Linked DNA regions of Saccharomyces cerevisiae S288C. The gene in region 2 interacts genetically with the main gene of each other region. Each region holds a gene or a part of one and is shown on either strand. Other genes may lie near its edges.

Region 1 (5,554 bases), on a different chromosome or scaffold from region 2:
GAAGTTGAGGCGGTTGGCATTGGTGCCATAGTCAAAGAGTTTCTTAACCCATGTTTAACAATGTCCTTTCTTAAGGTTTCCCAATCCCACATGCCAAATGGTTTAGCGTTCCACATATCGAATTGTAAAATACCCTTAGAAGCTGGAGAACCTTCAAAAGTAGAATATTTACCTTCTTTTTGGGCCAATTCACAGGAGGCTTCAAGAGTAGCATGGTAAATAGTTTCGAAGATTTGTTTGTTTAGAGTTTGAGCTTCTTCCGATTCAAAGGGTAGACGCAACATCATATAAGTATCGGCCAAACCCTGGACACCAAGAGCAATAGGTCTATGCTTCATATTTGAATTTCTAGCCTCGGGAACTGGATAGTAATTACGGTCGATAACTCTGTTCAAGTTGTGAGTAATGACTTTAGCAATCTCGTGTAATCTCTCGAAATTATAGCTTGCAGTTTTACCATCTTCTGAAACCTCAACGAATGCTGGTAGGGCAATAGAAGCTAAATTACAAACTGCAGTTTCATCCGGGGAGGAATATTCGACGATTTCACAACATAAATTAGATGATTTGATAGTACCTAAGTTCTGTTGGTTTGTCTTCCTGTTACATGCGTCCTTATAAACCATGAAAGGTGTACCTGTTTCTGTCTGTGCTTGCAAAATGGCATACCACAACTTTTGGGCTTTAATTGTTTTACCACGACCTTCTCTTTCGTAACGAGTATATAGTTCTTCAAATTCATCACCCCACACATCATCTAAACCTGGGGCAGCACTGGGCGAAAACAAAGTCCAAGGCCCATCCTCTTGAACACGTTTCATGAAAAGATCAGGGATCCATAGAGCAGGGAACAAATCTCTTGCACGAATTTCTTCCTTACCATGTGTTTTTCTGATATCGACAAAGTCGAAGATATCTGCATGCCATGGCTCCAAGAAAAGGGCGAAAGCACCAGGTCTCTTGTTACCACCCTGGTCCACATAACGGGCAGTATTATTGAAAACACGAATCATAGGAATCAACCCGTTTGAAGTACCGTTGGTACCAGCGATATAAGAACCTGTGGAACGGATGTTGTTGATATGAAGACCAACACCACCTGCAGTTTTGGAAATCATAGCACATTCTTTCAAAGTATCATAAATACCTTCGATAGAGTCATCCTTCATGGCAATTAAGAAACATGAAGACATTTGAGGATGTGGCGTACCAGCGTTGAATAAAGTTGGGGAAGCGTGAGTGAAGTATCTTAACGACATCAAATTATAAGTCTTCAGCACAGATTCGATATCGCTACCATGGATACCTAGCGCCACACGCATTACCAAATGCTGAGGACGTTCTGCCACTTCACCGTTCAGTCTTAGCAAGTACGAACGCTCCAGTGTCTTGAATCCGAAATACGTATACTGGAAATCCCTATCGTACACGATGGCCGAGTTCAAAGTATCTTTGTTTTCCATGACAATGTTGTAAATTTCGTCCGAAATCATAGGAGCATGCTTTCCAGTAGCTGGGTTAATCCAGTCGTGTAAATCCTCAATAACTTTGGAGAATTGCTTTGTGGTTTGCTTATGTAAGTTAGAGATGGCGATTCTAGCGGCTAGAGTGGCATAATCAGGGTGCACAGTGGTCATGTATGCACATGTTTCAGCTGCAAGATTGTCCAGCTCAACGGTAGTAACACCGGAGTACACACCAGAAATAATACGTTGGGTTACCTTAACAGCATCAATACGGTTTGGGTCTAAACCGTATGACAAACGGGTGATACGGGAGGTAATTTTATCGAATTGAACGGGCTCTTTGCGGCCGTCTCTTTTAATAACGTACATTTGTGTGGGAGTATTTGATTTATTGCTGCTGCTATTCTTGCTTGTCATATTTATTTCAACTTGGATATGAGATGAGAGAAAGGCAAGGAAGAAGGCAAAAGAAGGCAAAATAGCAGTGCGTTTATATACGTTTTGCAGCAGAACACGAAACAATATAAAGAACGCTGACACGAAAAACGAAACGCGTCAGCATCTCACAATACAGTATTACGATTTAACAATAGACTATTGTTTTTTTCCCATCTTGTCGTTTGGTCCTCGCCATGGCAACCGGGTTTTTGCCCCTTTGAGCAGCGCCTAGGTGTCGTTGCTGCGACAACCACGAAAAAAAAAAAAAAAAAAAAACAAAAGAACAACGGCACGCAATGTTGCTGTGACAACCGTAGGCAGATAACTTGGCTTTTTTTACTACTTTAGGAAAATTAGCAGCCAAGAACGAGGGCTTGCTCTGCTACCTAGTTCAAACTGAAACAAGCCTTCACTTTCTTTTCTTTTCTTTTTTTTTTTATCTAACAACTGAAGATTAAATGATAAATGTTTACGCGTGCGTGCGATTCATTCTTATGTATGTACGTATGTGCTGATTTTTTATGTGCTTGTTACCTTCTCTTGTTTCTTAAGAAGAAACTAGCCACGGCCACAGCGCCGGCTAGTACGCCTCCAGCGACGACAACACCCTTGAGTGTTTCCTTCTGGATCTTATCCTCTACCATACTCTTCAAAGCGCCCACCTGCTTGTTATTACGCTCATGCTCAAATAAAGTGTCTACATATCTCTTCGCCATAGAGTATTCACCGAGTTTGTAGCAACCTATGGTCAGATAATATAGGCATTCTCGTCTACGGGACTCGGCCTCTTTGTAAATGTCTGTGAGGATTTTCACACCAAGCCTTTCGTCATTCACGTCAGTGGATTTGATCAGCCCCCATGCGTAGTTAAACCTTGACTGTATGGTAGCGGTGGGCCCCCCCTCGGAGACGACTTGCTGGCGCAGAATCTCCAGCTGCTGCGGATAGAGTGGTTCGTATGCGTCCTTAAGAGTTGGCCAAAAATCTACTTTGGTCATACTTATGTTGTATGGCTGTGCTCTGATCTGTGCTTCTATGTGCCGTTTTTACGCAAGGTATATGATAACTTCTGTGCAGAATAGTGGCAATGGCAGCTTTGCTTTGAAAGGGGTCCAGCCTAGCCCGCTTGCGGTGTTCCGGCATAAATGCGCAAAAAGATTGGTTCATGAAAAGAAGTGAAAAAAAATCGATGAGCTCAGCTCTTAAGAACGGTATTATGGAACGAACTCAACCCGAAAAGGTAGTACAGATGCAGGGCACGGCAGATTTGAGCACTTCGAAACTTGGTACGAAAAAATACTGGGATGAACTGTATGCCCTGGAGCTGGAGAATTTCAGGCGGAATCCGCAGGATACCGGGGACTGTTGGTTTAGCGATAGCGATGCTGAACAAAAGATGATTGATTTTCTGGTAGATAACATTGGTGCGTACAGAATTTCTGAGAATGCTTCTGTTGTAGACCTCGGTACAGGTAATGGACACATGTTATTTGAACTGCATCAAACGGAATTCCAAGGGAAACTGGTCGGGATAGACTATTCTGAGGAAAGCGTCAAACTCGCTAGTAATATAGCCGAGGCCACCGGTGTTGACAATTTCATCAGTTTCCAGCAAGCAGACATCTTTAGTGGTGACTGGAAGCCGGGAAAGTATGACATTGTGTTGGATAAAGGGACCCTAGATGCCATTTCATTGAGTGGCATGAAGATCAACGGTAAACTTGATGTAGTCGATGTATACGCCGGAGTAGTGGAAAGGATTTTGAAAAAAGACGGTATTTTCTTGATCACTTCTTGTAATTTCACACAAGATGAACTAGTAAAGATCATAGAGACTGATAATTTGAAAATGTGGAAAACAATAAAATACCCTGTTTTCCAATTTGGCGGGGTCCAGGGTGCGACCATATGTAGTGTAGCATTTGTTAAACAAAACTGATTTGTTTTTATCTTTGATTTATTTTTAACGTTATTTCTCTTTACTTATTTAGGAACGGATTTAACTATAATGTTATACAATTCATCCGTGGTTTCCTTCTTACCAGTCTTTATGGCGTACTGTGCAGGATCACCGTTATCATCTACTGCTAGTAATCTTATGAATTTTTCGCTTTGCAAAGAACCTGTAAATCCTTTTTGCACAGTGAACCCCTTGACCAGTTGGATGTTTAAAATGACTTTTAAGATACCACGAGACCTCATAACAATACGCGTCTTCTCGACGTCGTCCTTACTTTTATTGATTTTGATGATACCAACACCTCTTTCCTTCCAGCCTTCTTTTATGTTGGAAAGTTGGTACAGCTTCGCATTGACTTGATATATGCACTCCTCAGACTCTTCACCAGACTTGACTTCCTGTTTCTGCAATTTGAGGGGTTTTGGTTTGTCTTTTGTATCTTCTGAGGCATTCGCTAGTTGTTCAGATCCACTATGGACTTTATCTTTGTCAACATCAGTAGCTTTCTTTTCACTTTCAGAGTTATTTTCTGTTTTGTTTTTCAGTATGTTGAAGCCGCTGCCAAATGATAAACCTGAACCAAATGCAAATGGCTTCTTTGTTTTGCTGTCAGAGGCTGGTAAACTTTCAGTACTGGTAGTTGCATCTCCATCTTTCGTGTCCTTTTTGGCAACACCAAACCCAGTTCCAAATTTAGATGCGGCACCAAACACGAATTTATCCTCCTTTTTGTCATCTTCCACAATACCAGATTCTACGGTCTTTCCGTCGTCAACCTTGATCTTCTTATGCGATGGTTCTTGGTCTTTTTTACCTTCCTCCTTTTTCTCCTCATCATTTTTATTGGGTGCTTCTGATTTGTCACTCGTTTCTTCCGCTTGTTCATCCTGATCTTTTTCCCTCGGTCTCTTAGGAGTTCCATCTAGTTTATCGATAGGATTTTCAACTGCAGTTTGTTTCACCTCAGAATTTTCCCTGGCTGCATTGCCACCATTGGTCTCACTCATGCTCTCAAAGTTTATGCGTACTTGTTTTGTGCAAATTGATTTGTTGACATTTTGGTTTGAGTAGCAACTGAGCTTTTTAAAATCCAGGCATTTATATCTTCAACCTCGCCAAACAATGTCAATTTTTTTAAAAAAAAACTCAATACCTACATCACCGCGAAATGCCTGAAGTAAAAGCATATAACAAACGCGACCCTTAAAATTACGTATATATATGTATATTTCTTTATACTAAGTTTTACTGGGCAGAGTATCATACAGTTCTTCTATCCGATATATAATGAACGATAGGTGTGACACCACTGACTTGAGTAATTCTTTCCAGCCACGCAAGCAAGACACCCCCTTGTTTCTGGCCCTGAGGTACGGACATTCCTTTGTAGAGATACTTTACCAGCACGTCCCTCTGAGAATCACTCAAATTTTTGATTACATTACCAATATCGGCTTGCCTGACTTGTGTCAATGCTTCAAGGACGCTCTTAAAATATTGCTCCTTTGTTGGAGCATCTGCACTGTATGGAGGATCGGTTGTGAGTAATTGAACGGCTCCCAAAGAGTCACCACTTGTGGCAAGCGAGCGCAATTGATTCATTCGAGGTTGTAATTCTTGTAATGTGACAGTAGTTTCGTATGGTGGTACCAGATCGGCAGCGGTTAGTCTGCCACTCTCTGGATCAAAT
Region 2 (5,949 bases):
TTGCTGATCGCTGCGGTTGAATACTTCAAGTATGGTACAAGAATTAACTATGAATGGTTCCATTGTACCCCAATCAAAGAACCCCAGTCTGGCTCAGTAATCAAGCTTTGGGCACGTGGTGGGCCAAGTTGTGACAAAAGAGGCGAATATAAAACTATAGTAAAGAGAATCACTAGAGATTATGAACCAAATGATGAACATCTCTCGTTCTGTATCATCGAGAATGATAATGTTCCACCCGTCCACTACCCAATTCACGAAGATAAAGGTGAACCTGGCTACGTAGCTTATGTCGGGTACGACACAGACTCTGAGCTGGTTCAAGAACTATGTGCTGATTCCACAATTTATCACATGTGAATTCTTTCTTTTACATACATAAACATAGAAGAAATCCAACCCTGATATAGGGATTTATAAATGCGTGTGCATATCTATATTTATACATATAAAGAGAAAAAAATTGCTCATGATAAAAGAAGTATCGCCTGCCCACTTTCCTAAATCCTCGAATTTTCCCTATATTTTGCGAACATTTTGCCTAATTCCTCTTGAATATTAACTTTGAAAACTTCTAAAGGATATAGTTTATCAAGGTCGATACCAGAGGTTGTTTTCCTATCTTCTCTGATTTTATCAATTGTTGGTATAAAGTCCATATATCGGGCCAAAAAGTGTTGCTCTTTCACCTCAGTAGGCTCAAATCTTTCGTCTACTGTTTTTATCAATCCAATAGAATCGCACCCCTTCGGTATTAATATCTCACTGCGTTTGACCATTTCAATATGATCTTTCATATCTCTATCTTCACAAAAATGCTTTAGAAGCTCTTGGTATTTAAGCCTTTGTGCTTCCTCTCGTTTCTCTTCGGTATGGTCTTCGCATATATAGAATAGTGAGCTATCATTAAAATAGCAAAACGATCTTAACGTTTGCAAAATGAAGTCAATATGTACTGACTGCCATACTGTAGTGTGTCTTTGTAAGTTTAATATTTCGCCACTGTTTAAGCACCATACAGAAAATTCATTATCGTCATTCAGTTGCTTAATTTTATTGAATGCGTAGGATAGTTCATTCAGCCACAACTTTTGGTCGTTCAGTGTCCAATCTAATAATATGAGCCAGCGAACCTTCGAACTATGTTCTTGTAAAAACGGCTTTAGAAGATCTAGTGCATCGTCAGTGTTTCTTATTAGCGTGTAAACATCGACAGAATAATTTTCCTTTAAGTCGTTGGTCCATCCTATGGTGGCGTAATTAATCAAAGTGGTATCCAGTATTGAATTGCTTCCCTCTGGAAAACAGATATTTATAAATTGATGCAGTGTTTTACTTGATGGGGAATATATGATTGCTGTTATCGTAGCAGTCTCTGTGCTGTTGATTGTGGATTCATTCTGAGACAATAATTTGTCCCAGGCATTACAATTATCCATTAATACATACAATTCTTTTATCTTCTTTTCTTTTTGTACAAGTTGCGGATTACTTCTCTTTGTTTACCTTTTTGCTTTTATTTTTTTTTTTAATACGTGCATATATATATATATATTTAGTTTAGGTCAGAATACAAAGATAATTATGTATAAATGGGCGCATTTGGAAACTATTTTACATACAACTGAACAAGTTCGGAACAATCTATCAATAATCTGCACAATTATATAATCCGATATCGACTTCAGCCTTCATATCTGATGAATTATTTGCGATCGATTCACGTTTTTCTTCCAATTCTTGAATATAACCGTCTTCAACACCAGTGACATAATTTCCGGTAAATACACCATCTTCGAATTTGGTTATTTTATCAGTTTTACAACAATCAATCAAATCTTCCAATGATTGGTAAATGACTCTTTCACAACCGATTACTTCCGCCACTTCTTCATCGGTTCTGTTATAAGCAATCAAGTTCTTTGTGTCTGTTAAGTCAATACCATAAATATGGTTGTAACGAATGGCTGGGGCAGCTGAAGCGAAGTAAACCTTTGTTGCACCGGATTCCTTGGCCATGTTAACAATCTCTTTTGAAGTAGTACCTCTGACAATAGAATCATCCACTATCAGAACCTTCTTACCCTTAAATTCAGACTCCATAGGGTTAAGCTTCCTCCTTACTGAAGAAACCCTTTCCCTCTGGTTTGGCATGATAAATGTCCTGCCCACGTATCTGTTTTTAACAAAGCCCTCTCTATAAGGCTTCCCTAACACATTAGCACATTCTAGTGCACATGTTCTTGCAGTATCTGGGACGGGAATAACAACATCAATATCTTCTGGCTTCAGTTGCTTTAGAATATTTTCCGCTAATTTAGAACCCATAGCCAATCTTGTGTGATAAACTGATATTCCATCCAAGACACTGTCCGGTCTGGCGAAATATACGTATTCAAATAAATCAGGTCTATAAGAGTTAATAGGAACCACTTGTTTGAACTCAGGTTCACCTTTGCTACAGTTCTTAGGGATGATAACTGCCTCGCCAGGCTTTAAGTCACGATATTTAGTAAAGTTGTGAGCTTTGAAAACAACACTTTCTGAAGCTAACATATAGTCCTTAGTGCCGTCCGGATTTTCTCTTTCACCGAACAATAATGGCCTAATACCATTTGGATCTCTGAAACCAAATAATGCAAAACCGGCAAGTAAACCAACGCAAGCATAACCGCCACGGCATAAACGGTAAACACCTTCTAACGCGTGGAAAACATCTTCATTGTTAACTCTGTACTTGTTATGTTTTTCCAGTTCAGCAGCAAAAATATTCAATAGTAACTCCGAATCACTGTCCGTGTTAATATGTCTATGAACGTCTTCATCCATATATCTCTTCAATGATGCAGTATTCACCAAGTTACCGTTATGTGCCAAGTTAATACCGTAAGGACTATTGACGTAAAATGGTTGCGCTTCTGAATTAGCCGAAGACCCGGCTGTAGGATATCTCAAGTGGGCAATACCCATGGAACCAGCAAGACCGGAAACACGTTGTTGGGTAAATACGTCACGAGCCATACCATTACCTTTACATTGGTAGATTCTACCACGAGAACCACAGGTAGCTATACCAGCTGCATCTTGTCCACGATGTTGTAGAAAAATGCATCCATCACATAACTCCGGAGCTACTGGAGTGGTTTGGTTTGCTAATACAATACCTAAAATACCACACATTTTTTCTATTCTGCTGTTTGCTGTACCTCTTTCTTTGCTAAACTTATTAGAACGAAATCTACTACTTTCAAGACGATGTCTTCGCAACTATGACTTAAAAGTGAATAAAATTGTACGGTGGCTGTTGAAATTTTTCTAAAATGAAAAAAAAAAAAACGAAGGACTTTACCTTGACTTAATAATAAGAATCTGAAAAGTACAAACCTATTATTGAAATTGTAAGTAAGCAAACTTTAAATACACCGAAGCTCTGACATTTGCCGCATGAGCAGTCATTCGGATTCATGATCCCAGATTATATTTTATTATTCATGTTCGTTCTAACTCTGTCCTGTTATTTTCGGTCAGGAAGAGTCAATACATCGGGTCATTGAAAAACCGCGGAGAAAGATAATAACTTTTCTTTTTTCCTTAAATCTTGAAAAACTTATACATGTATAAATCAATATTTACTTACGAGCGTTCATAGTTCTTGCTGGTCTTTTAGTTCATTCTCTAAATGATCCAGATCTTCTTGTATGGTCCAAAGTTCGCGGTACAATGACCCTGGCATAGCCAACAGTTCAAGATGCTTACCTTCCTCTCTTACTCTTCCGTTGTCAAGGACTATGATCTTGTCTGCATCTGCAATTGTCCTCAGTCTATGTGCGATGTATACACTCGTTCTCGAACCCGAAGTAAAGTTATCTCTAATGGTTCGTAAGAGAGCTTGTTCTGTGTGTGTGTCCAAGGCGCTTGTGGCCTCGTCAAAAAACATGATCCTTGCATTCTTCAATAGTACCCTTGCAATTGCCAGCCTTTGCTTTTCACCACCGCTGATCATCAACCCTCGCTCCCCGACGATGGTGTCAAAACCTTGTGGTAATTTCTTGATTAAGGGTGCTAGCTGGGCTTTTTCAACTACAGTTATCACTTCCTCGTCGGTTGCGTCAATACGACCGAACTTTACATTTTCCCAGATAGTGTCATTGAAAAGTGGTGTGTCCTGTGGTACCACACCAATCACCTTCCTCAAGGCATCGATGTCATATTCTTTAATATCTCTACCGTTTATGAGGATCCTTCCGCTTTCAGGATCATAAAATCTAAAGACTAATTTTAAAATGGTGGACTTCCCACTGCCCGAAGACCCAACTATTGCGGTTTTCCAGCCTGCTGGGATGGTAAAGCTGGCATTCTTTAAAATTTTCCTATCGGGATGATATCCAAACGTGACGTTCTCAAAAGTAATATCGTAGGGAACATTTTCTGGAAGCATTAAGGGACGTTCGGCATTTTTAATCTTGACTTCATTTTTTCTTAACTTAAATAGCGTTTCCATATCAATCAGAGACTGCTTTAAATCTCTGTAAACACTACCAAGAAAATTTAGCGGTACTGATAGTTGAAAAACCAACTGATTAATTAGAACCAAGTCACCAACTGTCAAGTTGCCACCAATAACGCCGGTGCAACCCATATACATCATTGCAGTTAGGGCAGTAGTAAAAATTAGATTTTGGCCGGAGTTCAAAAATGCTAGAGATTGCGATACTTTAATTTGAGAGTCACGATAGTTCATCAAGGAGCCATTATACTTATCTGCAAGATATTTTTCATTGTTGAAGTATTTTACCGCCTCAAAATTAATTAAAGAATCTAAAGCCACACTGGCAGCTTTGTTATCGGCCTTGTTAGCATCCCTTCTAAAATGTGTCCTCCATGCGGTCGTCTTTATAGTGAAAATGGAGTATAAAAGCATTGTACTGAATGTTATTGCGGCAAATGACGCACCGAATTGATACGTCAAAATCCCACAAACGACAGATATTTCAAAACTTATAGGGATAATGTGGAATACCATGGCCGTTAACACTTGAGATATACCCTTTGTACCTCTATCCATGGCCCTCGTCAGACCACCCGTTTGTCTACTCAAGTGCCATCCCAAATCTAACTTCATAAGGTGCTGGAAAGTTTGTAGCGACACAGTTCTAATGGCATTCTGTGCCACTTTGGCAAATACGGCGTTCCTCAGTTCGCCGAATAAAACAGAGCCGAACCTTGCAACACCATAGCAAAGAATGGTTAATCCAATCGCTGCCGGAAGGGCGACTGTAGGATCATCCCATGCTATATTCATTGAATCAATAGTTTGCTTGAAAAAAAAAGGTACTTGAACATTTAAAATTTTGGCGGATATCAACAGTCCAAGGGCAATCAGTACCCTTATCCTCACTTTATTGTTGCCTTTGGGCCAAATATAGCGAAATAGATCTTTCAAGATTTTCAGTTCCGAGAGGGTTGGGGCCTTGCTGGTCTTTTTTACCTGAGTCTTCACTTTTGGAGCCGACGAGAATTGCTCGACGGATTTTTTGTGCGTAATATCCTTTTGTGCTTGATTCCATAAATTCACAGCTGAATTGAATAACAGAGGCCGCTGGGTTGATAACTTAGACACAGTAAATATAACGGGCGAATGGTTCCGGATTAGACCAGATCTAAATTTTGATCTTACAATTCGCCCAATTACAGGACATCTTGGAAGAAGCAGCATTTGCAGGTTGGAGTGGAATCTATCAACAACGATATACTTACGTTGCTCTGTCGCAATTTTCGAAATTGTACTCTTTGCTGTGCTGATTGCTTTGTTTGCGATTATTAATGTAGAAAGTCATCGGAAAGCCCTCGCGCTCTTTCCCAGTGAAATTTCACGTGATGTAATCTGATGAAGGGCACGTATAGGTCAGTGACCTTTGCTGTGCAAATTGGGTAAGGTAATTTCTTTTA
Region 3 (5,323 bases), 480 kb from region 2:
AATTTCGGCGATGTCATGATTCATCAGGTAATCCATACTATTGAATTCTGTTTAAATTGTATCTCTCATACAGCATCATATCTACGTCTTTGGGCACTATCGTTGGCGCATGCGCAATTATCTAGTGTTTTATGGGATATGACAATTTCAAACGCTTTCAGTTCTAAAAACTCAGGGTCGCCTTTGGCTGTCATGAAGGTGGTTTTCTTATTTGCTATGTGGTTTGTTTTAACCGTTTGTATCCTAGTTTTCATGGAAGGTACTTCCGCAATGTTGCATGCGCTACGTTTGCATTGGGTGGAGGCAATGTCCAAATTTTTTGAAGGTGAAGGATATGCGTACGAGCCATTTTCATTTCGTGCAATAATAGAATAATAACCTTAAATTACTGTAAATTTTCTCATCTACCCACTGCTTTTTTCGTTTTATTTTTTTTTACACATACAGACATATAAACGTTGTAGAATTAAACGATAAAATATAATATTTCTTCACATAGTTTACGGTATATATATGTCTGGGTCGGTCAAGTGGTCTACCAATAGGTCATAAATTTGAGCAGGGATCTTAGCGATGAACCCGACGCCCAGCCGAATGATCTCGTCAGCATCAAAATCCGGAAACTGTCGTAGTAAATTAACAGGGGAATCCGATTTGAAAACCTTGGATCTCATTTTAACTAGGAATGCCACCACAAAGAGAATATTCATATGGAATCCATATGCAAACATGAAATCCCACAGTTTAATGACCTGATCAAGCGGTTTATTGCAGCTGGATAACGTGAGTATGGAAGGCATACCATAAATCTCTGCTGTAAGTAAATTGTCCGATAGAAATTTACTCAGCTTTGGATCAATGATTCTGAGAGAAATATCTAGTAGTTTGGCGCCGTTCTGGGCGCCGTTTAGGTTCTTAGTTAGATACGTCGGTATCATTTCATAACAAAGCTTAGTGAAAAGTTGATACGCCATAGGTTCAGAAGGACATGAGTAAAGCAGAGGAGCTAATAACACGTTCATGCCCTGCACATATGTGCTCACAGGAATGCGACCAAAACGAGTCTTTTGTCTTCTTTGTTGTGTTTGCCAAGCAAAGCACGACAGACACCGGATGAGGGCATCCTCTGAGACTCTATTTCTAAAGTTTGGATCCGTCTGAAAAGTTCTGGATGTGTCGTTCTTGATTTTTTGGTAAATGGTTGTGGAAGGTGGGCCCAGTTTCAAGAGCGCAAGGTACCGTTGTGTAGACGCCTCCATAGAAGTTTGAGAGAGCACCGTCCACACGTAACATCGCGTGCGCTGCTGCTGTTTATCTTCAGATATGGGAAGCCCTTCACTGAGTATGAGGTAGCGAAGTTGAGAGAGTGAGGAATGCAGTAGCAGGGGAGGATTTGATATCAGATCTTCAATTGAGGTCATGCAAAAGTTAACAAGTTTAAAAGTCTGTTGTTTCTTTTACCTTTACGTCGTTACTATTATTACTATTATTATCATTTTTTTTTTTTTTTTTTTCAATGTTTAGCTTGGCGTACGTAAACGGTTCCCTTCCGCACGGCGTTTACTGAATTGTCAGGACATAAATTCAAAGAAGAAAGAAGACCTCCAGTGTCATTATAGCATAAGACAGGTATGTAGCAAGAATGAATATGTAAATAAATAGCAAGAATATGTAGAATTTTTAGATTTTATTCGTTTGTTGTTTTCTTTTTTTTTCACTTGAATTTTTTGCCAAACATTATGAGTTGCAACTGATCGTACAATGAGATGACACCAGCTGCAGCGACTCCTCTAAATATGTTGGCACCACAGCCCTTGAACAAGGAATACGCGCCCTCTTTCTGAACAATCTTTCTCAAACAGTCCAGAGCACCGTCGTACTTGATGGTCTGGCCCGAAGTCATCATCATCCTTCTTCTTACCGTATCCAAGGGATACGACGCAGTGGAAGCACCCATGGTAATGACCCAACCTAATAGGAAAGAGGCAACAAAGGACCCCTCTAGAGCCCCCGTCAACAGCACAGGCTTGAAAGAATCGTACAAGCCAAAGTACAGACCTCTGTAGACAATGATACCCAGAACTGAGGGCACAAACCCACGGTACAGACCCAACAACCCGTCCGTTTTCAGTGTCTTCTTATACACGTCTAGCAATCCATTAAACTGTCTTTGCGAGGTTGACTTAGAACCCCTAGCATCCGCTGCAAGCCGCGTCCTTGCGTAGTCCAAGGAATATACAAATAGAAGCGACAAACCACCAGCCGCTCCACCAGAGAAAAGATTTCCAGCAAACCACTTGGCATACCCATCGCGCTCTCTGTCGTAACTCAACAACGACTTAATTTTGTCTTTGAAGGCAAAATTCAGCGCCTGCGTGGGGAAATACCGGAGAACATTGGCGGTGTTACCCCTCCAGAACGACACAATACCTTCATGAGTCGCAGTCCTCTTGAAGCAATCTAAAATTCCCTTGTACCGTGTATCCAACGAGCCCTGTTTAAGCATCTCTTCTTGATTCTGCATCAACAGTTTCACCCGTTCAATGGGAGCGGCACCCGTCTTCGCAATGGCAGCAGAAACGCCGCCCATAAGGAAGTCCACACCGAAGTGTGACTGCTGAGTCTGTGTTTCTGTGTGAGACATTACTGCTGTAAAAAGGAAAAATAGAAAAGAATAACAGATACGAGAATCTGTGCTGCCTTCTTTGCGATAATGCCTTGGCTTGCCTATTTCACGGTTACAGGAATAATAACATGTTCATACCGTTTCAGGACCAATAAATGGTCTTCTGCGAGAGAAAAAGGACACTCTCCGTCCGACAGAAATAAGCTTTACTTTCCGGGTGCGAATCAGCCCGTTGCGCCTGGGGTGGTCCCTACAGTACGCTGAGTCGCCGATAAAGACCCTCCGCCTAGAGCTAGGCGAGGCTGACTTAGGCAGGCCCAACAGGCAAGGCCCATCTTCAAAAGTGCACCCATTTGCAGGTGCTCTTATTCTCGCCAATTGCGACAGAAAATGAAGGATGCACTCAAACAGTCGATCCTTCGAGGGAGTATGCCAAGGCCTCGTGCATGTAGTGCGATTATATATATATATATATATATATATATATGTATGTAAGCAGGCCATGCCCTATAGCTCTTGTTCTATAAGCGATGGATAGGCATAGGAAACGAAGAGGACCCCAGTGTAAGGAAGAGTAGCAAAAAATTAGAACTAGATGACTAACGCTTTGCTCTCTATAGCCGTTTTGCTTTTCTCGATGCTCTCGCTAGCACAAGCGGAGACGCACACGTTTAATTGGACCACTGGCTGGGACTACAGGAACGTTGATGGGCTAAAGAGCCGTCCCGTGATCACCTGTAATGGCCAGTTCCCATGGCCAGATATAACGGTCAACAAAGGTGACCGTGTGCAGATTTACTTGACCAACGGAATGAACAACACCAATACTTCTATGCATTTCCACGGTCTCTTCCAAAACGGAACCGCCTCTATGGACGGTGTGCCCTTCTTGACGCAATGTCCAATTGCGCCAGGCAGTACTATGCTTTACAATTTCACGGTGGACTACAATGTAGGCACCTACTGGTACCATTCACACACGGACGGTCAATATGAAGACGGGATGAAAGGTCTTTTCATCATCAAGGATGATAGCTTCCCCTACGATTACGATGAGGAACTTTCTTTATCGCTTAGTGAGTGGTACCACGACTTGGTCACGGACTTGACGAAGTCGTTCATGAGTGTTTATAATCCGACAGGTGCTGAGCCCATCCCACAGAACTTGATTGTTAACAACACGATGAATCTGACATGGGAAGTCCAGCCCGATACGACGTATCTTTTGAGAATTGTCAACGTGGGTGGGTTCGTTTCGCAGTACTTTTGGATCGAGGACCACGAAATGACCGTGGTCGAAATCGACGGTATCACTACCGAGAAGAACGTAACGGATATGCTTTACATCACTGTCGCTCAGAGATATACAGTCCTGGTTCACACTAAAAACGACACGGACAAAAATTTCGCCATCATGCAGAAATTTGATGACACCATGTTGGATGTCATTCCAAGTGATTTACAGCTGAATGCAACCTCTTATATGGTCTACAACAAAACCGCTGCGCTGCCCACACAAAATTACGTGGATTCAATTGATAACTTCTTGGACGATTTCTACTTGCAACCGTACGAGAAAGAAGCCATCTATGGCGAGCCAGATCATGTGATTACCGTTGACGTTGTTATGGATAACTTGAAAAACGGTGTGAATTACGCCTTCTTCAATAATATCACCTATACTGCACCAAAAGTTCCTACTTTGATGACCGTTTTGTCTTCAGGTGATCAAGCAAACAACTCCGAAATCTACGGTTCAAACACGCACACTTTCATCCTAGAGAAGGATGAAATCGTGGAGATTGTGCTAAATAACCAGGACACAGGTACCCATCCTTTCCATTTACATGGTCACGCTTTCCAAACCATCCAGAGAGATCGTACATATGATGATGCCCTAGGTGAAGTTCCTCACAGTTTCGATCCGGACAACCACCCTGCCTTCCCAGAATACCCAATGAGAAGAGATACTTTATACGTTAGACCACAATCCAATTTCGTCATCAGGTTTAAAGCCGATAACCCAGGTGTTTGGTTCTTCCATTGTCATATCGAATGGCATTTGTTGCAAGGTTTGGGTCTTGTTCTCGTGGAGGATCCTTTTGGTATCCAAGATGCTCATTCTCAACAACTCAGTGAAAACCACTTAGAAGTTTGCCAGAGTTGCTCTGTGGCCACTGAAGGTAACGCCGCTGCCAATACACTGGATTTAACTGATTTAACTGGTGAAAATGTTCAGCATGCCTTCATTCCTACCGGTTTTACCAAAAAAGGTATTATTGCCATGACATTCTCCTGCTTTGCCGGTATTCTTGGTATTATCACAATTGCAATTTATGGTATGATGGATATGGAAGATGCGACCGAAAAGGTTATTCGAGACTTGCACGTGGACCCTGAAGTCTTGCTAAATGAGGTTGATGAAAATGAAGAGCGTCAGGTAAACGAAGATCGTCATTCCACTGAAAAGCATCAATTTTTAACTAAAGCCAAACGGTTCTTCTAATAAAGGAAGATCATGTATTTTGCGGTTAACCTGTTTTTTTTTTTTCGGTCAAGGGTTCCAAATGCATTTGCATGTAAAGTGAATGCCCTTGTCTTACTTAATATTACATAGACATATACTTAATAATCTACCACGTTTCAAATTCAATAATGCATGCTTCTTGGCGGTTTTTGACATGAGATCCTCATCTG
Region 4 (8,017 bases), on a different chromosome or scaffold from region 2:
CGGTCAATTTGGCGAACGTACTTACTTTGGCTATCGAGTTTTCACTTGGATGTACTAATTTCAAAGTTCCGAGGCTCTGCCAAATTTCAAGGTTTTTCCTTGCTTGAGCATCCTTAATTTCTTGAAAAACTGTGGGAGTAGTATAAAAAGACTGTGCATAATTCTGGTAATGTGTGTAGGACTGCGTAATTAATGGGGTGGCATCCAATATCAACGCCCTTACATGTGCGGTTTGGTTTTCGGTCATATTATGCTCCTTTAAAGAAACTTTAGAAAAATACTGAACTATGATCGCCGATGAGATTTATCTAGCGCTGACTGAACGACCTCTATGTTAAGAACATACTTGAGATAATGGTGCTGTTTCTCCATGTAGACTTCTTCTTAGCAGGTAAAAATTTGCCAATGCAAAACAAAGCTCATCGAAAAATTTTGATCTTGCATTATGGAATGTCCGGGTTTTTCTATTGAGACATTCAAATTTTGAATTCTTCTTCAATAGAACCAGGCTCAGCACAGATACAAGAGAAATGATAGTAGATAATACCGCCATAGTGCTTATGCATCATCTGCTAATTCTTTTAAGAATGATCTTCTCAGTCTTACACTGACGAGCACTATATTGATGACTTTGATCACTATAAACGAAGCCAATATAAGCACTTTAGGGTGTAAGGTCTCAAGATGAGTTGATCATATGCGATATATCTTTGAACGCTAATAATTGAACGAAAGCACTATGACAAAGTAATGGCAGAAGTCTTTTAAGGTTAAAGAGGTAGTTGTTTTAAGGAAACGAAAAAGAAATGCCTGTTGAAAAAGATTTAAAAACTGCCTACAAAGCTTTGTATGATGAGAAGGAACCACTGAAGGCCCTCCATCTTTATGATGAAATTCTCAAAGGCTCACCCACAAATTTAACGGCTCTCATTTTTAAGGCAGCATGTCTTGAAAAGCTATACTTTGGGTTTTCTGATTGGCACAGCGATGCAACTATGGAAAACGCAAAGGAACTTCTTGACAAGGCTCTAATGACAGCTGAGGGTAGGGGCGATAGATCGAAGATTGGTCTTGTTAACTTTCGTTATTTTGTTCATTTCTTCAATATCAAAGATTATGAACTGGCCCAATCTTATTTTAAAAAAGCCAAGAATCTTGGTTACGTTGATGACACTTTGCCTTTATGGGAAGATCGTCTGGAGACAAAATTGAATAAAAAAAATAAAAAGCAGAAGGATTCAACTAATAAGCATACAATTAAACCAGTGGAAAGTATTGAAAACAGAGGAGATAATAATTCTTCTCATAGTCCCATTTCACCTCTCAAAATTGAAACCGCTCCTCAAGAATCCCCTAAATTTAAAATCGATTGGTATCAATCCAGCACCTCTGTCACTATATCATTATTTACTGTTAATCTTCCTGAGTCTAAGGAACAAGTCAATATATATATTTCTCCAAACGATAGAAGAACTTTATCGATATCGTACCAAGTACCGAAATCTGGATCTGAATTTCAATACAACGCTAAGCTTTCGCATGAGGTGGATCCAAAAGCAGTGTCATTAAAAATTTTCCCAAAAAAGCTGGAAATTACCTTGAGCAAAATTGATAGCACGCAATGGAAGAAGTTGGAAGAAGATATTTTAACGGAATCCTCAAGGTTATCAGATGAGGGTAAAAATTCTGATTCTGCAACCCGCTTATTATCAGCAGAAACGGCATCAAAAGAGAGATTGTCTTATCCATCGTCCTCTAAAAAAAAAATAGATTGGTCTAAACTTGACATTGATGAAGAAGCTGATGAAGAAGCGGGATCGGCTGATAGTTTCTTTCAAAAGCTTTACGCTGGAGCGGATCCAGATACCAAAAGGGCTATGATGAAATCCTTTATAGAAAGTAATGGTACTGCATTGAGTACAGACTGGGAAGACGTATCTAAGGGAACGGTTAAAACTTCACCACCAGAAGGCATGGAACCTAAACATTGGTAAATGATTAGTATATACCTACACAATTACAATATGTAGATATATAGTATGGTAGTAATGTTACATTTTCGATTTAGACTAGCCAACCTGCGTATTTACTTGGAATGCTTACATGATTATATTGAATATTACAAATTTTATTATGTCCATATTAATCCAGAGTCACGGTGCAATGGAAAAAGGAAAGGGAGAATGATAGAATAAAAGAAGGAAAGAAAGAGACAATGTAGCGAAGGCTAGAAAGTGATGTGAAAAAAAAAACCACAAAAAAAATAAATAAGAGATCAGAGGGTTAAATGAATGCGCTTTTAAGAAATTCAAATATCTGTAAAGGAGAATCCATTCAATTTCGAAACTTGCTCATTTTTCCATGTAATAAAATCCTTATCATTTTCATCTTCCATCATACTGGTATCATCAAATCCGCTTTCAATATCTTTTTGTTGAATGTTTAATTGAAATTTACCTTCTGGCGACATGGAAAGTTTATATATGCTGTGCTCAGGTTCTTTATAAGGACTGCTCAATTTTTGTGCGTAATCTTCTAATGAGCTTTTGCGTTCCGGGCTTCGTACATTCTCCTTACCCGTGGTGCCAGTCGACCTTTTAAGAAGTTCTAAAGCCTTTTCTTTAGTTAATTGAGGGATATGACTACCCTTAGTGTCGACTTTGTTCAGCGGGATAGGAAACAATTGGCGTGGTTTTACTGCATGTTCGCCATGCGTATGATTTATCCTAGGCGATGATGAAAGATCGGATGATCTGTTTCTGTTTAAGGTAGGTCTCTCTATATTCCCTTTGGAATTCCTAGATATTACTGTGGGTGCTAGTAATCTTGTTGCTCTTCTGTTCGGACTAGATAACTTCGTTGTTCCTTGCATATGACGAGCAAGCGAGTTCTCTTGGGATAGATCATTCTTTGTTAAGCCTTGTATTGTTTTCTTTGAAGGCGTTTTATAAGTAATGTTGGCATCATTTAAATTCAAACCAATCGGTACCCTGATGGAACTTTCTGTGGCCTTGAAAGTGTTTTTTATGACTTTATTCTCTTTGTTCGCACCACATTTTCCCTTTTTAGATCTCTGCATTCTAACTCTACATCTTGGATATTTTGCTTCGATTTCCTGTTGCTGAATGTCAATTGCTTCTGAAAGTGGCTTACCTTTGAACAAAAAAGGTTGATCAAATAGACCATCGGCCTCTTCTAATTTAATTCTTAAATCATTGATGACTCGAGGAAAGTGTCTTGTTATCCTTTTCCTCATTTTTTCTTCAGTTAGTAATATCTTATGAGAATTTCTAGACAAAAGCCGTGAAGAGTCTTTTGAACTTCTTTCCAAAAATTCTTGATCTTCTTGTAAAGATTCAAAATCTGATATTAATTTTAAAATTGGCTTATAAAGGGTCAGTTTTTCTTCTAGTCTTTTTAGCTCATTTTCGCAAGTTTCTAGAAGAAGCTCATCTTCCTGTAAAGTTGTTGCACTGTTCCTTAGTTCTTCAAATACAATGATGAATTTAGACCGACTTTCTTCTGAATACTGTAACGTACGCCACAATTCCTGAATTTTGTCCCAGGAATCTGATATAAGTTTTTTTATTAGTTTTTTTTTCATTGCTTCAAGTCGCATAACTTCTTTAGAGATTCTACCTAAGGACTCGGTTGATAAACTTGAATTGTTACGCATAAAAGTCTTTATGTATTCTTGAGAAATTTTTAGCCTTGTCCAAAGTTTTTGGCATTGTTCCATCAGGAGCCTCTTTTTGTCTGCTCTTTCCTTATGGATAGCTTGCAGTTTTTCCAATGTAATATCAATTTTAGACATTCTTTCTCTGTCTACCGGGTGGAAATTTGGTATTTCTGATGTGGAGTTTTCCTCTTCTCCATATGATCTTAGATCTTGTTCAAAATCTTCACCGATTAACGTTGCTAGGGGAGTTCCAAGTTGTTCACATATTGATGAAATACTAACCTTTTTTGTGAGTACGCTTTTAAACCTCCTCTCGTATTCTTCCTCGTAAATTTTTATGACTTCATTCATGTGTTTCACAGATTCTTCGTTAATAGTTTTAAATGCCGATCCCTTTAAAATATCTTTTCTATTATCTATAATAAATTTCATGGACAAACCAATATCGCCTTTACCATTTTCTATTTGTAACAAATATGCGGTTAATGTGCTTAATTCTGGAAACTCGGCGATAGCCTCGTTATCTGCTTCTGTCAATCCAGGAAGGTTTTCTTTTACAGATTGTATGAGGTGTTTTAGAGTGATTAAGGATTTTAAATAGTCGCGGAGCCTGGGTAAAAAACTTCCTAGGACAAATTTTTTTGCTGTATCTAATGCTGCTTTTTTGCTTAGTAAGGAAAGTGGCTTTTTCGGTGACTGTGGCACAGTTTTACTTTCTTGCAGTAGAATAGCATTTCTAATGTATAAGTCAGGAATAGTCTTTATGCCACTTGGGTCATTTATTCTCTCTAGAATGTTATTTAGAATATCCTGTTCAATTCCGTTCTCTGCGGACAGTCTTTTCAATTCTTCGTCAGCTTGCTCAAAAAATTGTTTTATGGAATTAGATATAGTGGTGAATATGATTTTCTCCTTGGTGATAATTTCCGTATTAGAATACCCAATATTTTGATATATGACATTGAGATTCTCCAGTAATTTCTCTAGATCCTTTGAAATAAGAATGAAATTTTCTCTATACATATTATCCATTGTGTTACCTTTACCATTTTCTGAGTCTAAAAAATGGTAATTAGTGGACACGTTTTTCAAAGGAGAACCAAAATCTCTAATACGAACTGGGGTCAACTTCATAAACTCTTTAGAATTTGATTGATTTACCATGGTCGACACAGTCAACGGTGTTGCTAAAGAAGGGTTCATATGCGGTATAACTGTAGTAGACCCAGAATTTTCGCTGTTTCTCCTCGATTTAATGGGCAAAGGGGAAGAAGTTGCTGTCTCCATTTCAACATCAAAAGTAGTGAATCCAAAATGAAACCTTTGAATTCTAATGCCAGAATGCTATATCTGATGATTAAAAATAGCCTATTAAAATGCTCTAATTAGTCCTTAAAATAATTATTCTCGGTAATAGCCGTTTGTTCGTATCTTTGCTATTGTTCTGTGAAAAAACCAGGTATTCGACTTTAATAATATTTTTGTATTTGTTTCCTCTTAAAGATTCTCAAGCTTATTTACCTTTTACCTCATTGGGAAATATTAGATGACGAAAGAAAATCACACTGTACGATTTTCTGGGCGGTTATTTAGTGAAATTAAATAATAACGTAGATATGGCAGACAGACTTATTGTTTATAGGCAGTTCTTTACAATTGTAACTATAAAAAGTGGCTATACTAGGAAAGAAAGTTTTTAAAGATGATTTGTTTTTTCTATCTTAAATCTCATATATTTATTTTTATTCACTTCTGAGAAATACAAGTTGCATGTCTCAAAACTTTTACTTTTCAACAAAATATTAATCAAAAAAAATAAATGAAAAAAGAAGACCATATTGAAGAACATTTAAAATCCTTTGTTTGAAATAGAGATCAAATATCTTGTATTAGCTGGTTTTAAATCAGTAGTATATTGCTATGTATGGTTTGATAAGATGATACAGATTGTTAGACGAAATTATTATCATAATGTTATCTATATTATGGAATGCCAACAATCATCAGCAAATACGTAAATATGACAATGGAAATGAACAAAGAAAAGAAGAAGAGAAAAATATAATACTATGTAGAATTGTCGAGCTCCAAAGGATATTCTATCTTGTTATCCGTAACATAATCAGCAGGGCGATCTGTGCACTTGTTATGAACATATGACATTTTTATTTATTCCCTTCGTGTTATTGTACTCGTGTTTTTTATAAATTTTCCTTCCTCGTAGATGGCTTGAATACCAAGTAATATTTCTTCTACCACAGTATTACTGGCGTAAGCAACTGAATTCTCCGAAAAGTTTTTTAGATAAACTGCCAAGTTAGTCTGTCATTACCTTTATATCGTCTTCCTTTAATCTGTAGGTCAGAGTGTTCACTGCTTCAAATAAATCTGCAGATATTCTTCCATTATATTCAAGGTTCAATATTCTTCATGCTTTATAGAGAACAGTTTGAAAATTGCTGCAATTGATTTCTAAAGTTTTCTTGAACCAAATTGGCAACAAATGAAACGGAACAAACGTTTGAAATGTTTTGTACAAATATGAATGCTCTTCGTACGATAGTGGTCGCAGAATTCACCCTGTTCATTAGAATGAATGTTGCCTGTGGGTTGGAATTTTTCAAAACTTGATGTAGAATTTAGTCCAAGTAGAAGTATTCTTCCCCCACAGAATGTGTGGCGGTGAAAAATTGCGAGACGTGATTGGTGTATCAAAAAACATACGAGATTGTTGGGTTAGTATACTGTTTCAACTACGTGAAGGGCTTCTCAATGGTGATATATACTATAAAATTGTTGGTTGAGTATCTGATTGAAAATACATCGACGACATTATAGTCGGGCGTCCTAAAAATGACCAACTAGATGGCTTGGCTTGATTCGGAGTGATTATATCGCTATAAGTACGGTCCATTCTGTGACGACAGTAATTGAGCAGATACGATGATGATGATTCTCTGGAGCAGCTGATAAAACAGGTGTATTATCCGTTGAAAGTTGGCGTTGCTGGAAACCTTATCATATGAGGTTTGCAAATTGGAAACGTGTGACGAATTTGATTTGTGTACGCTTCCCTAGAAGTAACCAAATCATAGGCTCTACCATGAGGTAATGAATGATTATTATTGGGCTTCTACCGTTGCTAAAGGCTATAATATTAGATACACAAAATATATGAAAGTTCCCCTCGAGAATTGAAATCCACCAAAAGAGTATCCATATCTCTTTCTAATAATATTGATATTCTTCTTCTGTTCTTTATGATAATAGTCATTATATTATTACATTATATATCCTTGCAATCCAGCTCCCATTAAATCTGATGACTGTTTCTCATCTTTAGGGTTATCTTTTTACGCCGCATATGATACTATATTAATAATATGAATGCTAGTCGATAAATAATACTTGATTCCTATTCCAACATACTCTATCCAAAATTATTTCCTTTATAAAAATTATACCTCAACATTTATCAAATAGTTTAGCAATGTATCCTTTTCGGTAGTTAATTACTTTAAATAACCTAAGTTAAATACCCACTATCTATAGAAATCTTTATTTAGGACGCTCCGAAGAACTCATCCTTGTTAGCTCAGTTGGTAGAGCGTTCGGCTTTTAAGCGCATTTGCTTAAGCAAGGATACCGAAATGTCAGGGGTTCGAGCCCCCTATGAGGAGTTCTTTATTTTTGTCAGTAACTATTCGGGTACCATCCTCTTCTTTTCTTTTTCCCCCACTATAAAACGAGTCTATCAATTCCCTTCAAGCATTAGTGGTAGTAATACATTTTAATCACATGAGAGTGTTCATTCAAAAATATATACTATTTCGTGTAAATCAAGTGCTCAATTACTCTTGTGCATCAAGTATGCTAGTAATTGGGCCGTAAATTCGATACAAGCAATCCCAGTAGCAGCTGTATTCTCGTCCATTCCTCTACGTGCCACAATCACGCCATGCGCATTTACAGCCTTTATGTATATTGGAACTCTAATCCATTTCAATTTGTTTAGATTTCTCAAAATAACCTTTCGGTTTTCATCAAAAGGCAGTTTTTTAAATTTAGATTTCCAAACACCATCATTTATAGTTGTGTATTTTTGGATAAATTCCTTCCAAGGAAGCTCTTCTTCGTTTACAAGATTACTATTACTTGCTTCATAGTTCGCATCCATATCTAAAGCCGAATTTATGATGGACCCGTATGCATCTGTAACATAGCCTTTCAGTTGCTCCGTCAATCCTAATTTTCCTCTGACCTCATTGTGAAGAATGCCATTAGAGAGCATTTTGCGGTACTTGCAAGTAACAATATAACTATAAGCGGTTCCCAGGC

What was found.
Region 1: mutations in DYN3 (region 2) and FIS1 together harm fitness more than expected from each alone (negative genetic interaction), as found in Saccharomyces cerevisiae (4 studies listed by BioGRID).
Region 3: mutations in DYN3 (region 2) and BUB2 together harm fitness more than expected from each alone (negative genetic interaction), as found in Saccharomyces cerevisiae (3 studies listed by BioGRID).
Region 4: mutations in DYN3 (region 2) and ASE1 together harm fitness more than expected from each alone (negative genetic interaction), as found in Saccharomyces cerevisiae (3 studies listed by BioGRID, with this or other methods).

The regions. Positions count from the first base shown.
Region 1 is NC_001141.2:238,874-244,427, forward strand, and holds FIS1 (Fis1p), read right to left. Parts: upstream 2,903-5,554; coding exon 2,435-2,902; downstream 1-2,434. Other genes in the region: ribonucleotide-diphosphate reductase subunit RNR3, read right to left, coding at 1-1,835; EFM4 (Efm4p), read left to right, coding at 3,154-3,843; YRB2 (Yrb2p), read right to left, coding at 3,888-4,871; ARC15 (Arc15p), read right to left, coding at 5,125-5,554. UniProt on the Saccharomyces cerevisiae protein: Has a role in mitochondrial fission. Has a role in outer membrane fission but not matrix separation. Required for targeting MDV1 to the mitochondria.
Region 2 is NC_001145.3:863,912-869,860, forward strand, and holds DYN3 (dynein light intermediate chain), read right to left. Parts: upstream 1,440-5,949; coding exon 501-1,439; downstream 1-500. Other genes in the region: sphingosine N-acyltransferase subunit LIP1, read left to right, coding at 1-360; ADE4 (amidophosphoribosyltransferase), read right to left, coding at 1,648-3,180; ATP-binding cassette Fe/S cluster precursor transporter ATM1, read right to left, coding at 3,644-5,716. UniProt on the Saccharomyces cerevisiae protein: Component of the cytoplasmic dynein which acts as a motor for the intracellular retrograde motility of vesicles and organelles along microtubules. May play an important role in the proper orientation of the mitotic spindle into the budding daughter cell yeast.
Region 3 is NC_001145.3:385,601-390,923, forward strand, and holds BUB2 (Bub2p), read right to left. Parts: upstream 1,422-5,323; coding exon 501-1,421; downstream 1-500. Other genes in the region: STV1 (H(+)-transporting V0 sector ATPase subunit a), read left to right, coding at 1-375; ADP/ATP carrier protein AAC1, read right to left, coding at 1,715-2,644; ferroxidase FET3, read left to right, coding at 3,222-5,132. UniProt on the Saccharomyces cerevisiae protein: Part of a checkpoint which monitors spindle integrity and prevents premature exit from mitosis. This cell-cycle arrest depends upon inhibition of the GTP-binding protein TEM1 by the BFA1/BUB2 complex.
Region 4 is NC_001147.6:431,380-439,396, forward strand, and holds ASE1 (Ase1p), read right to left. Parts: upstream 4,967-8,017; coding exon 2,309-4,966; downstream 1-2,308. Other genes in the region: NOB1 (rRNA-binding endoribonuclease), read right to left, coding at 1-247; co-chaperone SGT1, read left to right, coding at 807-1,994; LPL1 (putative hydrolase), read right to left, coding at 7,527-8,017. UniProt on the Saccharomyces cerevisiae protein: Required for anaphase spindle elongation.